Linked DNA regions of Lepisosteus oculatus. The protein of the gene in region 1 purifies or fractionates together with the protein of each later gene. This does not show direct contact. Links are inferred from orthologs where the notes say so. Each region holds a gene or a part of one and is shown on either strand. Other genes may lie near its edges.

Region 1 (7,725 bases):
GACTCACCAATATAGGGGTTTTATGGTTATCATTTCTTTATTTTATCTTTTATTATTCATTTCAGAATGATTTATTTTATTAATTTAAAAATTAATTACTTTTGTCACACAATTAAGAATCCGTTCATTTAAGTGGTATGTATGCATAGCTACTGTAATTCCAGAGGTGAACTATACTTCCTGCTTTAATAGTAGCTGTGTGGTCATTATTTAAATACGAAATTTAAAAAGATTAATGGAAAAGCTACTTATCCATAAGTACAGACTTCATGCTTATATTGAAAAATTAATTCAAATACAAACTGGTGATTGAATGCCCAGGTCCAAAGATTTCTGATAAAAAGACAATACTGTACATATTTTTAAATGGTACAAAAGTATTTCAGTTACACCAGTGAAATAAATATCTCTGGCTTGTGTGAATATTACAATTTAACTGAATTGTATTGTGTACTTTATAGTTCAATGGATGTTAAAATTTTGTTTTAGTATTGAAGAGGTCCTTTCTATGTGATATATGCATTTATAATGAAAGACAGTTTGACATTTTTGATACAGTATATTGAAAATTAGGGAAAATAAAGGTGTATTTGTGTGTGAAGGGAACAATACTGTTATGTTGTTTAAAAATGTCACTTAACATTAAAAGTTGTAATTATACTAAATTATGCTCTTAAAATGTGGCAAAACAAAACATAAGAAGTACTTAGTTATAGGTTTATTCCATGCTGAAAAAAAGAAGAAAGAGAACACAACATTTCTGCCGTGGAGCCTTCTTCAGGTGTGAGAGAGACAGGGCAGTAGGCAAAGGTAAAGTAGCGGGAGAAGAAAGGTTGGGAGGGAGGAGGAGTGAGAGGCGGGAGCAGGGGACAGAAAGAGAGGCCAATCAAGAGGTGTGAAGTCAGAATGGGTGCAGAGAGGTGTGAAATGAAACTTCCAATGAATGGAGAAAATTTAAAAGAACAGTAGTCTGTCGTTAAGGGAAGGGAGAATGTGTGATCCTAGCTGCAGAATAATTTTAGTTTCGGTGGTCTTTCTGATGTATGAGTTTGGAAAACCGTCTTTGAGAACACAGACGGAGAGATTAGAGTGGTCGTGGCCGTCAGAGGTGAAATGAGAAACAATGGGCTTGGAGAGATCTTTAATCTTCACAGCCCTTATGTGTTCTCTGAAGCGGTCTCCGAGTCTCCTTCCTGTTTCTCCAATGTAGATGGCTGGGCATTTACTGCAAGAGATACAGTAAATAAGGTTGCTGGAGGTACAAGATGCTGTCTGGGTGATCCGGAACTGTCCTGAGGGGCCTTGAATGAGTGTGGTGTTGGCTGTGTACTTGCAGGTGATACAGCGGTACCATAAGAAGTACTTGATCAGTTCTCAAGTAATCCATATGTGAAAAGAAAATCAAATTGAAGACTAATCAAGAAGATTGTTATAAATATACAGTATGCAAATATACCCATAAAAAAGAAGTTGCTCCTCTCCTAAAGGTTAATAATTGATTACAAGTGTTACATTTTAGCTTATTTAGTTTTTTTAAGATTTGAAAAGTTCATACTTGCAGTACATAGTGTATAGCAGTCAAATACAATTACGTATATCAGTATACAGTATAAGATAAACTTTTTAAATGTTAAAAGTTTTATTAAACTATAATTTATATATATAAATTATAATTTTCTACCTATGTTTTGTTGACATAATAATAATAAAACATTGTTTGCTAGTTTCAATTTAGCTGTGAATGTATGTTTTATAGCTAATTTAATAAGACTGTCTCATTCTATTCCAAGAATAAAATTGTTTTACTTCACTCTGGATTAACAATAACTACTTAATTAGCATGGTGCCCTTGCCATTTGCATGTGCTGCTAACAATGATTATTTGCTCGTTTTTTCATTCAAGTTTGTTTCTCTTCGCTAAAGTCAGTGCATACGGTATCATTGCTTTAGTATCATTATTGTTTAGTTTCTTATAAATGAAATCAAAAGCCTAAATTCCTTTGCAAATGACTGCAAAGGTGTTTTGTTTCAGAAATTTTATATACAATTTAATTTCAGGGACATATTTATCAGTTGTATTAAGGACATGCAGCTCCACCTTCTAGTGCAAACTAAAGTTACAGTAGATGTAAATCTAAGGGGCTGAAAAAGCAGTTGTGTGTTCAAGATAACCCTCCCCAGTTCACTGTACACACTTGAAGCCAACTTGTGCTGTGTTAACCTATCCTATGATTTACATTGATATGCATACAAACATTCCAAAAGACGCAAAGCTCTGTAGTTGACGTCAGATTTTGCAGTGCATGCTGTACCTTGTTCTTTCATTCGTCTGTAGATTACTTTCAATTGTAACAATTCCTTTTGTGGATGATTAAAATATGCCTTTTGTAGTTCTCTTCTTAGTGGGGAAGGGGATCATACTGCAAGTTAAAAGTGTCTGCACTGCATCATTAAATGATGATGTCATTAAATGACATTTAAATGAACAATTTAAATGTGCAAATGTAAAGGATCAGAGTTAGCATTTGGATCTTGTTTTCATTATGGCAAATTACAGTACTACTGTATGGCAAAATTAGAATGTTTCTGTGTGCTCAATGAAAGGGACTTCTTTCTGTTTTTGTAAGGCAGACAACCTAAACTATGCCATAATGTACATCATTTCTTCATGAATGAATGACCAGAGGAAAAAAAATCCCAAACCAAATGTCCTGTGACTGCTTATATTAGATGTTGTACTGTAGTACATCAGAATAGAGTGATTCTTGAAGATACATTCTAAATAATTACTTTGTGTAATTTTGTCTGCTTCCTAAGGAAACAGCCCTCACAATTCATTGATATTATCATGGTGCTGGTTCTTTCATTGGCAGCAGTAAACAGTATTATTTTGATTCAACTGCATGCAATTGCAGTGAAATTAGCTTCTCATATTGGTACAAAGGCATCAGGAAAGGAAAACTTTCACAGAGACCTCATTTTTAAATTGATACTGTATTCTGTCTAACCAAGTTGTACTGTAGTTTTGTAGAAAATACTGTTAGAAATACTTTGTTAAAAATGTGTTATGCTCAATTGTGCCCCTGGCTGTAATCTGTAACAAACATAACACCTATTAAACCTTTTGTAGTGAAATCTCCATGTCTAGTTATTTATTCTGCATAAACATTGACACCTTTCCCATGTTAGATTAATGAGAACTCAAATTCGGTTGTGCACACTTGACTTCAAACAAGACCACATTTTTCTGAGTTATCAAGATTCAACCTAAAAACAATATTTGAAAGTGTAGCACAATACAGAACTCTCATATATACTATACAGTATATACTTTTAATGCTTTGTGGTTCTGTATTTTGCTGTGTGCATTTGGTCATGAAAGGGATTGGTAATTCTGGTCTGCAGAACCTCAGCCTACTGTATTCTTGGCCTTAAATAAGTTGGGATGCTTCAGCAGAGATCAGTCCAATATTGCCTATACTGTATGTTCCCCCACTTGGTTCATGTACAGTAATTGAACATGCCATGGCAGAGCTGCAAAAATGCAGAAGTTCATTTGCATTTCCCCAGCTATAGTATGCTAGTCTCTTATCTCTTGTCCCAGCTGCAAGTTACTGTATACCGTAAAGAAACTATATTCAGTGGTGGCTTGCAGAAGTTCCAGGTAAACCTCCTGTGCTGGGATGAGCACACCTGTGTGTGACTACTATGTGACAGCTATAAAGACCTGGATTGTGTGTGTGGGCAGGGCAATGCAGTGGGGGTTGGGGTAGAAATGCGAGTCCTCCAGAAGACAGGAGGGTGTGGTAGGACCTCCACTTTCCACAGTAGTTGACGAATGACACTGCATGGAATGAGAAGCTGTCTTTGTCTGGTTGCTCGGCTGTTGTACCCAGGCTGTGGAGATAACATCAGATGGTCTTCTCTGGGTGCCTGCACACGTTCTGCTACATTTGGACTACAATGTCAGGCTTGCTTTCCTTTCCACATTTTATAACTTGAAATGTCTGTTCTGTTGACTAGGAGAGCATACAGTACAGCAGAGGATGAACACATAAACACTTGTCACTCATTTGAGAGCAGACAGCTTCTTACACCTTATTCCAGTGGATCCTAAAGTATCGTTGAAAACGGCATTACTCGTGTTATGTTCCTGCTTGTTGAAAATGTTACTGTTCAAACTTGGGGGGGAAAAATCTACTGGTTTTCATCAGTTTCCTGTCTGTGAAATGGCTGCAGGCTTAAACATTTAACCTGCTACAGCAGGCACTTATGTGATTATGATGTGGCTTGAACTGCCTGTTTAAATCACAGTGGGTGTCTATTTAATTTACCTCTCTCTCTCTAGGTTGATTTGAGTAATATCCTCTCTACACAGACTTTGTCGAAGCCATTGTTTTATTGTTTGTTTAAGGATTTGGAAGCAACACTTTCACCACCAACAATAACAATAATAATAACACAACATGCGGATAAGTAAAACCACACTAAAGTGGTCATTTCCGTTACAAAAGTGATGTTTGTGAACAAACGGCATAACGTTTTACAGTATTCCTGAAGATCAATAATAAATTTCGCGAGTTCGAAACTGATAGCGCTTGCTTAGTACATGCTGGAGAATTACGAAATACCGGAAAGCAGTGAATTTCAACATCGCACAGAACATACCTGGCACAACTGCACATGAGCAGAAGTTGTGAATCATGTCAGTCGGCAGGATTTACTTTACCTGTTAATGCATTTATCTGCAGCGCAATAATCCCCCTCCCAGTGGTGACGTCAGAACCTCCGCTGGCTGAGAGACTTTATTCGGCTCAATTCTCGCCACAAGTAATTCAGGAGAACGAAGGAGGAGCTGTCAAAGTTTCTGTGCTAAGGAAAGAAAAGTAACGCCGCTGACGCCTTCCCAAAATTTCCTACTATTTCCCTTTGACAGCTAGAGAGGGAGAAAGTAGAGGCTTTATTCACCACACAAAATTTGTCAGTACCAGTATGGAATAAAAAAGAACATATTTGAAGGAGAAGAGAAGAAACGAAGAGCTCAAGAAAACTCGCAGCAATGCAATTCGAAATTGCGATCGTCCTGTCTTCCTTGCTCACTCTTGGCTGTTGCAGTATACAGGACAAGAGAGGTAAGTGAAAGAAAGATAACTTGTACAAGACCTTTCCTGAAGACATGCAACTGTTTGTTAATAGTAATTTAATGACCCGGGAGTAAAGTTTTAATACACTAAGCTTTGAAACAATCTCGTATTGCTTTGTTCGCGTTTGTATATCTGTAGTTTGTTCAAGATACAGAGGCAGCGTGGGAAACTGTAGTACCGGTACAGTGCTTCCTTGTTGCAGGAATGAGGAGTACAGCAGATTACTTCTTACCTTACACTAGAATTTGTTCTGCGTTTGTCGTATGAGTATCGAATTAACATCAGTGCAAAGCCTTAGGAAATAAAGAGGTACATATTATTATTATTATTATTATTATTATTATTATTATTATTATTATTATTATTATTATTATTATAGTTTCAAAAGACCTACAAGAATGGGATGCCCGCAAAGTGCAAGGCAACTGATAATCACAACAGGGAAAACTGATATGTTAACTTTTTTTACGGAGTGATTCTTATTTTAAATGAATAAATGCGTTCCTTAATGATCAGGCAAATGTTATTTCGTGGTATCTGGATGGATACGTTATGGTGTTTTAGAGAAATGTATTGCGTTGTAAGTCATTTAGTAATCGAGGAATGGAGAAGCGCTATTGTGGAGTATTATGCTGCAAAAGTGAAGGGAAACGTTAAGTATTTCAGTATTTGCGGACTTAAATAATAGCGAACTATATGAAATGAAGTTAATCATCTACTGTATTTTACAAGAAGACGTCGCACAGGTATATACAGTAGTCAAACAAGCATCAGTGCCAGTGTACAATGTATAAAACAAAGATTCCTTCATGTCCAATTTCAAAATCACATTTTTAATAAAATGGGTAAGACAAAGTCATTCTGTTTACGATGTCATACAAAACATATCCAGATCATTCGTGAACAAATATCTCGCAATAAAATAGGTGGCACGACGACTACTACAAACCACCGAATAAACCAGCAGGTTGAAGTGTTCCGAGTGCCCAGTCATCTCGTCCTGAAATCGAAAGTACAGTAATTCTCAGAAAAGATAAAGCACACCAAAAGCAAATGCAATGCCAATTATACGTTTTATCTGTGTTTGAAAACTTTAAATTGGTATCATTTTCGTATTGTCCATCAACTCTTTGAGTGTAACAAGATCTTCATTGTTAGAGGCTGGCAGAATCCACAGTAAGGGGAGTAGTAGGTCAAACGCTACTGTGCCAGTATAAAGTCAATGGCACATCTGTCTGCTGATCCGAAAAAAAAAAACCCCGCTTGAAATTCTGAGAGTTCTCTATAGTCAATATACAGGAAAAGTAAATAATGCAGGAAATTTGTTTTAGTGGTAGAATTTCTTAAATTTAAAGGCAATATTGGTTTCTCGGATCGGTAGGATTAGTTAAAACCAAGTGGAGACATCAGCCCCGCAGGATTCCTCTTTCGAAGTCTTGTTGATGAACTAGAGCACTTAACTGCGCAAACCTTGTGCCTGCGACGTGCAAAATAGATAAAACATGTACTTTAAGGATTTTTTTTTCAGAGAAGAGAAATAGCACAGAAGTTTACTAAACATTTACTTAAAATGCGCATCATATTATGCAAAATATAGTATTAATAATGTTAAAACCGCTTTCTTTCAAGGTCTATTTGATTTTATTGTATAAACACTATTTCAAAAACAGGGTTATCAGAGTCTTAAGTGTTATGTCATTTGAGATAGAGAAGAGATAGGAGTCAAAGTTTTCCTTCCTGAATCCCAGTGGAATAATGCTTTAGTTGAATGACAAGTTGATAAGGTTATGGTTAGCACTGCTGCCTCGCAGGTCCTGGGTTGTAGGTTCAGTGTCTGGAGTGTGGTGCCTTCTGTGTGGAGTTTGCATGCTTGCCCTGTGTTTTTGTGTGGCTTTTCTAGGTGTTCCATCTTCCTCCTTTCAAATGCAAGCCGACTCGGTTAACTAATGTCTCAATGGACTGGCATTGTGTCCTGCCTTGCAGCCTGTTTTTCTAGTCTAGGGTAGTCTCTGAGTTTCCATTATGAGAATAAAAGCTTTTCTGATAACAACTGAACGGTGAGGTAATGTGCCTCTTTTTTGAGGTGACCTGAAGTGATGTAAACATGAAGAAAGTTATTTATATAATATAAACACAGTACAAATTGTGCCTTTTTATACATGAGATTAGGAGGAAGTTTAAAACCTGATGTCCTTTTTACATGATCAAAAAACTCTACCATTCCTTCAGTTTGATTCTACTTGCTATAAATTCCACAAGTGGCTAGCAAAACAGCTAATTTCTAGAGAAACTGTGTTTTTTTGTTTTAGGTAACTTTTCTAAACCTTTGTACAGTATTTTCCTTCATGTGCTGTACTCCCATTTGTCTTTTCAGACTCTGAAGATGTATTTCACAGCATGCAAGTAACCTGTTAAAACAATGACAATGCGTGTTGTTTTCTCTAAAATTAAATTCTAGGCAGAGAGTGATTTTTGGGTTTGTTACTGAGTACACGGGCCAATTCTCTCTGGTGAACAGTTGGGAGATGTCTGTGTTTCGGGTTGTCTCAGTGCGCTCTGTGTTGCCAGTTTGGGCAGATGG
Region 2 (6,853 bases), on another chromosome or scaffold:
CACTGTCACCCTAAAAGGTGTTGCAGTTGAATGATTCACACAAAAAATGAAGGCTTTACTACACTAGGCTTGAGGAACAATAGCTTGGTAATCCAACCTGTTGACTAACCAGTCAGAACCCTCCCCAGGAAGTGACATTGGTGGTTAGAGTGGGATTCTTTGAAAGGATGTTCGAGTACAATTTGGCGCGATGAGAAGTTGGCATTCTCTGATTAATACCCTGGGGATTTTGACCCCCAAGTCTGGCCATGTAGAAGTGGCAGTCAGAACTGTCCGATAAAAATCTTGTATTTCTGCACTGTTGATCCGGTGATTGGTGGGAGCTCGTATAATGTCTTTCTTCTAAACATTCATTGACAAATTGCATATCCTCTGCAAACTGGAAATTTATTAATTGTCTAGATTTATGTTTCAAGTCCTAGCCCACACTGCCAGGGCCAAAGCACTATATTGGTGGTAACCATGGGATTGAGAAGCCTGTTGTTTGACAATCGGTGTGGACACAGAAAAACGCATGACATCTGGAAGCTGTTGAGGTAGTTGAGGTGAGGTAGCGCTGCACACAGTTTCACATTTATACATAGAAGCTGCACACTACCCACGACAGCATCCAGACCTTTTGGAGATGTAAAGAAAAGCTTGCCTGCAGCAATGGGGACCTGTGTTTAATAGCCATCAATTTTCTATAGCCTTCCAGTGTTATGAGAAGATCAAAGACTATACCAGAGATCAACATTATTCAGATAGAGCAGTCATGGATGTCGGAAAGGCCAGCCGTGGAATGAACAGTAGGGACCCTATGCACAGCGGCAAAAAGCGGGACAAACACAGCTCCCGGCTCAGGAGTCAGGCGGTGTTGGGGATGAGGCATATGCCCTCAGGACACGGACGTGGGGTGACCTGGTGCTAAGCGGGCCTCGCGACATTTGTACCTTAATGCTGAGCCAGGAACACTGGAGACACAGGGACTAAATAGGAAATGGAAACCAGACACACCGGAAGAACATGAATAATCACACAAAACTAGGAAAAGGAATGAAGTAGAGTGCCCTCTAGGGGTAGGATGTCGACCGAGATAGTACCGCACATAGAAAAAGCTGCACAGCACAGGGGGGAAGAAAAACCTCATTTATCTGTCAGGAAACCTCCGGGAGTCCACGGCTGACAGCTACCCCCTCCTCCAGGGTTATACAATAAACTTTATTAACATATGGTAGAGGGAGCCGAAAGTCTCTCGTGGACTGTGACAGAGCAGTGCTTTTCATCATACTTCTACGCTTGTCCTATACTATATTGCATACATCAACATAGCATTTTGCAACACTTCTGACTTTACTCTTCGTATAAGAAAGTTCAACCAAACGTACATATGCATTGTTTTATACATTTACCAATATGCCATAGAGATCATTCTTCCCAGTGTCAGCACTGAACTGCTCCCTGCTGGTACTCACAGTAGAAACCCACTCCAGCACTGCGAGTGCTGATCCACAGAATGGCAAAGACCAGCGCAAGGCTCCTGTAGGATGACACTCTCTTCTCTGAGCTCGGCTGAGTCCCTGGGAATGGGAAGAAGAGACTTGGTGATCTTTGATGACTTCAGTGCCAGTACAGTACTTGAAAACACCAGAGCTGTCCTTTTGCCATTGCTATCTTTTTATAACAGGTCATCAACTTAAAGATAACTGTCAGAATTAAACAAAGGAACAGCACTGCGCTCATTCAGCAAATTGGGTTCTGTATTCTGTGCAACTGGGGCTGTCAAAGAGGGAAGTAGAAAGTGATATTTTTTTTTATATTTTATAGTATCACCACAATTTTATATTGGTACATTTTATTGTATTGTTGAATGTTTCATTTATATTCATATTATTGGAGACTAGAAGGCAAAAAAGAAAGAACCACACTGTAACTGTAAATTATGTGCAAGAAATTACACATCATACCGTGGCAATGGATTTTTAGAAATATGGTTTGTTTTTCAAATTATGTTTTTTTGTTTTTTTATGTATGTGTTTATGTAATTTTTTGTTTAAATTATGTTTTTTATCCCTGGGTGGGTCAAGGGGAGGGGAGAGCTGTTGTGGGGAAATGTGTAGAACTCTCCCCTTCCTTTAGTTTTTTTATTTTCTTTAGGAAAACAATCTGACAGCCTGGAAGTGTCTCCTGAGCTTGAGAAGGAACATTACATGTCTCTGCCTCGGCTTAGACCCGCTGTCTCTTATGGAACTCTGACTGTCTTTAACATCTCCATTCCATTTGCCCAATATCTTCGCTCATCCGTCATTTCCACACGAATCCTGTGACACTGCCACCCCTTGGCAGGAGTTTAGCTCTGCATTCTTTCTGGATCCATTCTGTGGATTATAAGATAAGATATGAATTTGCTTTAGGAATCTGTCTTTTCACATATTCCAGCTTGCTCTCCATGAGACACACAGGCAGGGAGAGAGAAGCTGGGGGTCAGAGGGCAGGGTCAGCCATTGTACCGCACCCCTGGAGCAGTTGGGGTTAAGGGCCTTGCTCAGGGGCCCCACGGAGTAGGATTCCTCTGCCGGCTGCAGGATTTGAACCGGCAACCTTCCAGCCACAGGCGCAGATCCTGAGCCACAGAGCACAGAGTTTAGCTCTGGATTCTTTCTGGATCCATTCTGTGGGTGTGGTTGGCAAGTAACCACTTTGAAAATGGACGATTGTCCCCTAGGCTGAGTGTCCAGTGAATCGCCCATCCATTTTCAAACCACTTTATCCACTCCACGATCACGGGGGAGCTGGAGCCCATCCCAGAGAGCAACTGGTGCAAAGTGGTTTACAACCTGAATGGGACTCCAGTCTGTCACAGGGCACTCACAGACACAGACGTCCACACTCACACCAGCGTCGGCTTTCCTAGAAGCCCATTAACACACCAGTATTTCCTTGGACTGTGAGAGGAGACCAGAGCAAACGCCTGTGAACACAGGGAGAGCCTACAAACTCCACACAGAAGGCACCCTATGTCTATAAAAAAGTACCTGGTACTCTTATTAGCTGGGAGTAAGAAGGAGTTACTCTGATGCAAAATGTTGCTGGATCACAGAATTGGTTACGATTAATTCATTTACTTCAAATGTCTTTAATTTTATTTGAGGGTTTAAATAAGGAGAACACAAAGGTCATTAACCCTAAGTAACTCGCTAAGAGAAAGGTGTTTTGAAAATTCCATATGTTGTCTGTTCCAATGAGAATTTGCAAAGGAGATAAACAAGATACCTTTCACACGTTTGTCCTGTTTTTGTATTGAATACACCACTACAGTATTTTCATTATTGCAAATAATAATCTGTATACTGAATTAGCTGCACAAGTCCTGTCAAGGTACTCCAGTGTGAAATCTCAGGAGAAGCACAGGTATTTATAGGTACAGAATGTGTACATTTATGCCGTTAAAGCCCTCAGACTATGAGGCAGAGCAGAGACAGTAAAAAGAAGCCCGCGCAGTTTCTCTATCTGTACCTTATTCAAGACAAACTGTTGAAGAATAAATTAATGAAGCCAGAATACTTCAATACTTTATTGATAAGACAAACCGTTAGAACACAAATGTTGTTTCCAGACACGCAACAGCGGTTAAACGGTACGCTTTATTTCATGAAAGCAGATGATTTGTATTCATACACGGGTAATGTCTTTAAAATATTAATCTCGTATGTGGTCATACGACCAGGGGTGCTGTGTTTGTACCGTCCGTATTCAGAGCGAGACGGATCGCAGCTCGTCCAATACAATTTCATCCGGGGGAATTGTCGCCGGCTATGAGCCATCGCGTTCACGGAAATGAATAGTAGGAAACAGAACTTGAAGCCTCACAAAAGCCACATTCACACAGGGGAAAGGTCTTCGGTGAAGTCAGGCATCTCTTAAGTCGCCTTATCCGTAAAGCATTTTCTCTTTTTTTCGACAGGAAAACCAAACTCCTAATTAGGTGCAAAGCGGACAATGAGAACTTTGCCGACCGCTACATCCTCGAAAAACGAAGGGGTGAGGGACGGGTTGTTATTGTTTTTTTTTCCAACTAGCCTGTTCCCAGGTAATTTTTTGGGCGGGGGGATTTTAAAGAGTGGAGCTCCTCATAACTTTAATTATTAAAAATAATAACTTAGTACTGGTATTGCATATTCTTCCTTTAAGGGCTCATGACACTGCTGGAATCTCCACTTATTTTTAAGTCTGTGAAAACTTTTTGTTTTTGCCTCGAACGAATTTTAATGCTGCGGATTGCAATTTTGTAATCCTGATCTCTTACAATTTTTAGATTTTTTTTATTGTCTCTTTGTACTGTATGATTGTATTGAATACTTTGTTTTATACATGCAGATTTTATATTATGCATTATTGCACTGTTAATAGTTCATTATATGCCCAGTTGGAATAAAACCCGTTTAAAATAGATCGGAAAAAAACTACAGCACCCAGAATTCAAAGGGCCGGCATCGGACTTCCGCGCTGACATCACCTAACCAGGGCACCTTTCAAGATGGCGGCGGCAGCAGAGGCGCAGGATAATGAACTGGACGAGTTGTTAGACAGTAAGGACGGTACTTCTTCTGTAAATGTCGGATGTTCAAAGGAGTAGCTGGCGTTCATCGGTGAAGGAGAGGGCGTCCCAGTGTGAAAATTTTGGTTGCTGAACAGAGTACACGGTGTAACCTGTCACCCAAGACAGTTGAAACGCAGAATGATTAAACGAGTGGTTTTGCGAAATAGAGAAAAAAGAAGGGTTTTTTCTATTTTTTAAAGCTGGTTCTATCAGCATTGCCGCAGTTATTGTTATCTCTGTTAGGCAGTTGAAGCTGTAGTAGCAGTTTATTATTATACTTGCCATTGCTTTGAGAAGAAAATGACACTTAAAGAAGTGTCTGCTGTTTTCAAGTCGGATGTTGATGCCAGAATTTCAACATTTTAACACTTAAGCCACATTTAACGATATCAGCTCAGTAGATTGCGAATACTCTTGCTGTATATAGCAGTAAGTGAGGCATGCATGTCAGGTAAGACTACACTCGTGTGTCGCTGTCCCGTTTTGGAATCGGGAGCACCAGCATGTAAAATGCACCCGAGTTGATGCACCTGATTGTTAACTCTGACGACTGGGAATCGATATTTGCTGGTGGTTATGATGGCTGTTGTTAATGTTGAACAGTCAAGACCCTATACGTCCTTCGACTCGCAGCCCTGTTCTGTGTCTAGCACTACCGCGGCGTTTAAAAACGTGTCGCTCCTGCCCATCACAGATCCGACCTCAAAACTTGAGTGCTTTTCGGAAACCCCCCCCCGGCACAACCCACTGCTGTGTGTAGTTTAAATGCAGAGTGATAGGCCTGGGGTCAGACGTACATTCTTCCCCAAAATAACAAATCGATCCTCAGGATTCCTAGAATTCTGCTGGAATCCGAACCAGTTCTGAACCTACTGGGGGAGGAAACTCAATAGAGCTGCAGCCTGGTGTGTGATCTCCTGTCACAGCCTGAGGAACAGTGAGCCTGTCTCTCAATAATAGTAATACAGTGTGTGATCTCCTGTCACAGCCTGAGGAACAGACAGTGAGCCCGTCTCTCAATAATAATAATACAGTGTGTGATCTCCTGTCCCAGCCTGAGGAACAGACAGTGAGTCTGTCTCTCAATAATAATAATACAGTGTGTGATCTCCTGTCCCAGCCTTAGGAACAGTGAGCCTGTCTCTCAGTAATAATAATACAGTGTGTGATCTCCTGTCACAGCCTGAGGAACAGTGAGCCTGTCTCTCAATAATAATAATAATAATAATAATAATAATAATAATAATAATAATAATACTGTGTGTGATCTCCTGTCACAGCCTGAGGAACAGACAGTGAGCCTGTCTCTCAATAATAATAATAATACAGTGTGTGATCTCCTGTCCCAGCCTGAGGAACAGTGAGCCTGTCTCTCAGTAATAATAATACAGTGTGTGATCTCCTGTCCCAGCCTGAGGAACAGACAGTGAGCCTGTCTCTCAATAATAATAATACAGTGTGTGATCTCCTGTCCCAGCCTGAGGAACAGTGAGCCTGTCTCTCAATAATAATAATACAGTGTGTGATCTCCTGTCCCAGCCTGAGGAACAGTGAGCCAGTCTCTCAATAATAATAATACAGTGTGTCATCTCCTGTCCCAGCCCGAGGAACAGTGAGCCTGTCTCTCAGTAATAATAATAATAATAATAATAATAATAATAATAATAATAATAATACAGAATGTGTTCTCATATCCCAGCCTGAGGAACAGATAGTAAGCCAGTCTCTCAATACTAAAACAGTGTGTGATCTCCTGTCACAGCGTGAGGATTAGACAGTGACCATCTCCAATAACAATAAAAATAAAAGATCTGTAGCCCAGTATGTGATCTCCTGTCACAGTCTGAAGCAGAGACTCAGTGTCTGTCTTGAAAGTTTTGGCAGCACTTCAGTTCATCCATGATGCCAATAAAGCCATTTCAAATTGAATTTGGGTCTCAAGCTAAATTCCTGTGGGACCCAAGCAGAGAAGTCCATCCCTGGTGCAGGTGTGTCCACTGGTTCCCATCCCAGCTCTCAACAGAACTGGCTGGTTACTGGTTTGGCTGGACCACTGGAAGAGTTACCCTCGGCTCGGGCGCTGCAGCTGTACAGTGACCTCGCAAACCTGCTTCTCTCCTGCCAGCTGTGTGCCAGCGTCTGCGTTTGAATAATCCCAGTAGCCGCCAGCGAGACGACCCGAGTCGGGACCGGATTAGATTCTGTTCCTAATTGACGGTTTTCAATTTTCGTTTTTGATCAGGTGCCCTGGACGACTTTGAGAAGACCAAGCCC

What was found. Proteins that work in one complex are often made in the same cells at the same time.
Region 2: the proteins of egfra (region 1) and pex19 purify together in Homo sapiens (co-immunoprecipitation; 3 studies listed by BioGRID and IntAct, with this or other methods). This does not show direct contact. The link is inferred for Lepisosteus oculatus from reciprocal best matches to the Homo sapiens genes EGFR and PEX19.

What each region holds. Positions count from the first base shown.
Region 1 is NC_090701.1:19,951,316-19,959,040, forward strand, and holds the start of egfra (epidermal growth factor receptor), read left to right. Parts: upstream 1-4,701; 5' UTR 4,702-5,059; coding exon 5,060-5,132; intron 5,133-7,725. UniProt on the Homo sapiens protein: Receptor tyrosine kinase binding ligands of the EGF family and activating several signaling cascades to convert extracellular cues into appropriate cellular responses.
Region 2 is NC_090699.1:8,502,303-8,509,155, reverse strand, and holds the start of pex19 (peroxisomal biogenesis factor 19), read left to right. Parts: upstream 1-3,840; 5' UTR 3,841-4,020; intron 4,021-4,430; 5' UTR 4,431-4,516; coding exon 4,517-4,568; intron 4,569-6,821; coding exon 6,822-6,853. UniProt on the Homo sapiens protein: Necessary for early peroxisomal biogenesis. Acts both as a cytosolic chaperone and as an import receptor for peroxisomal membrane proteins (PMPs).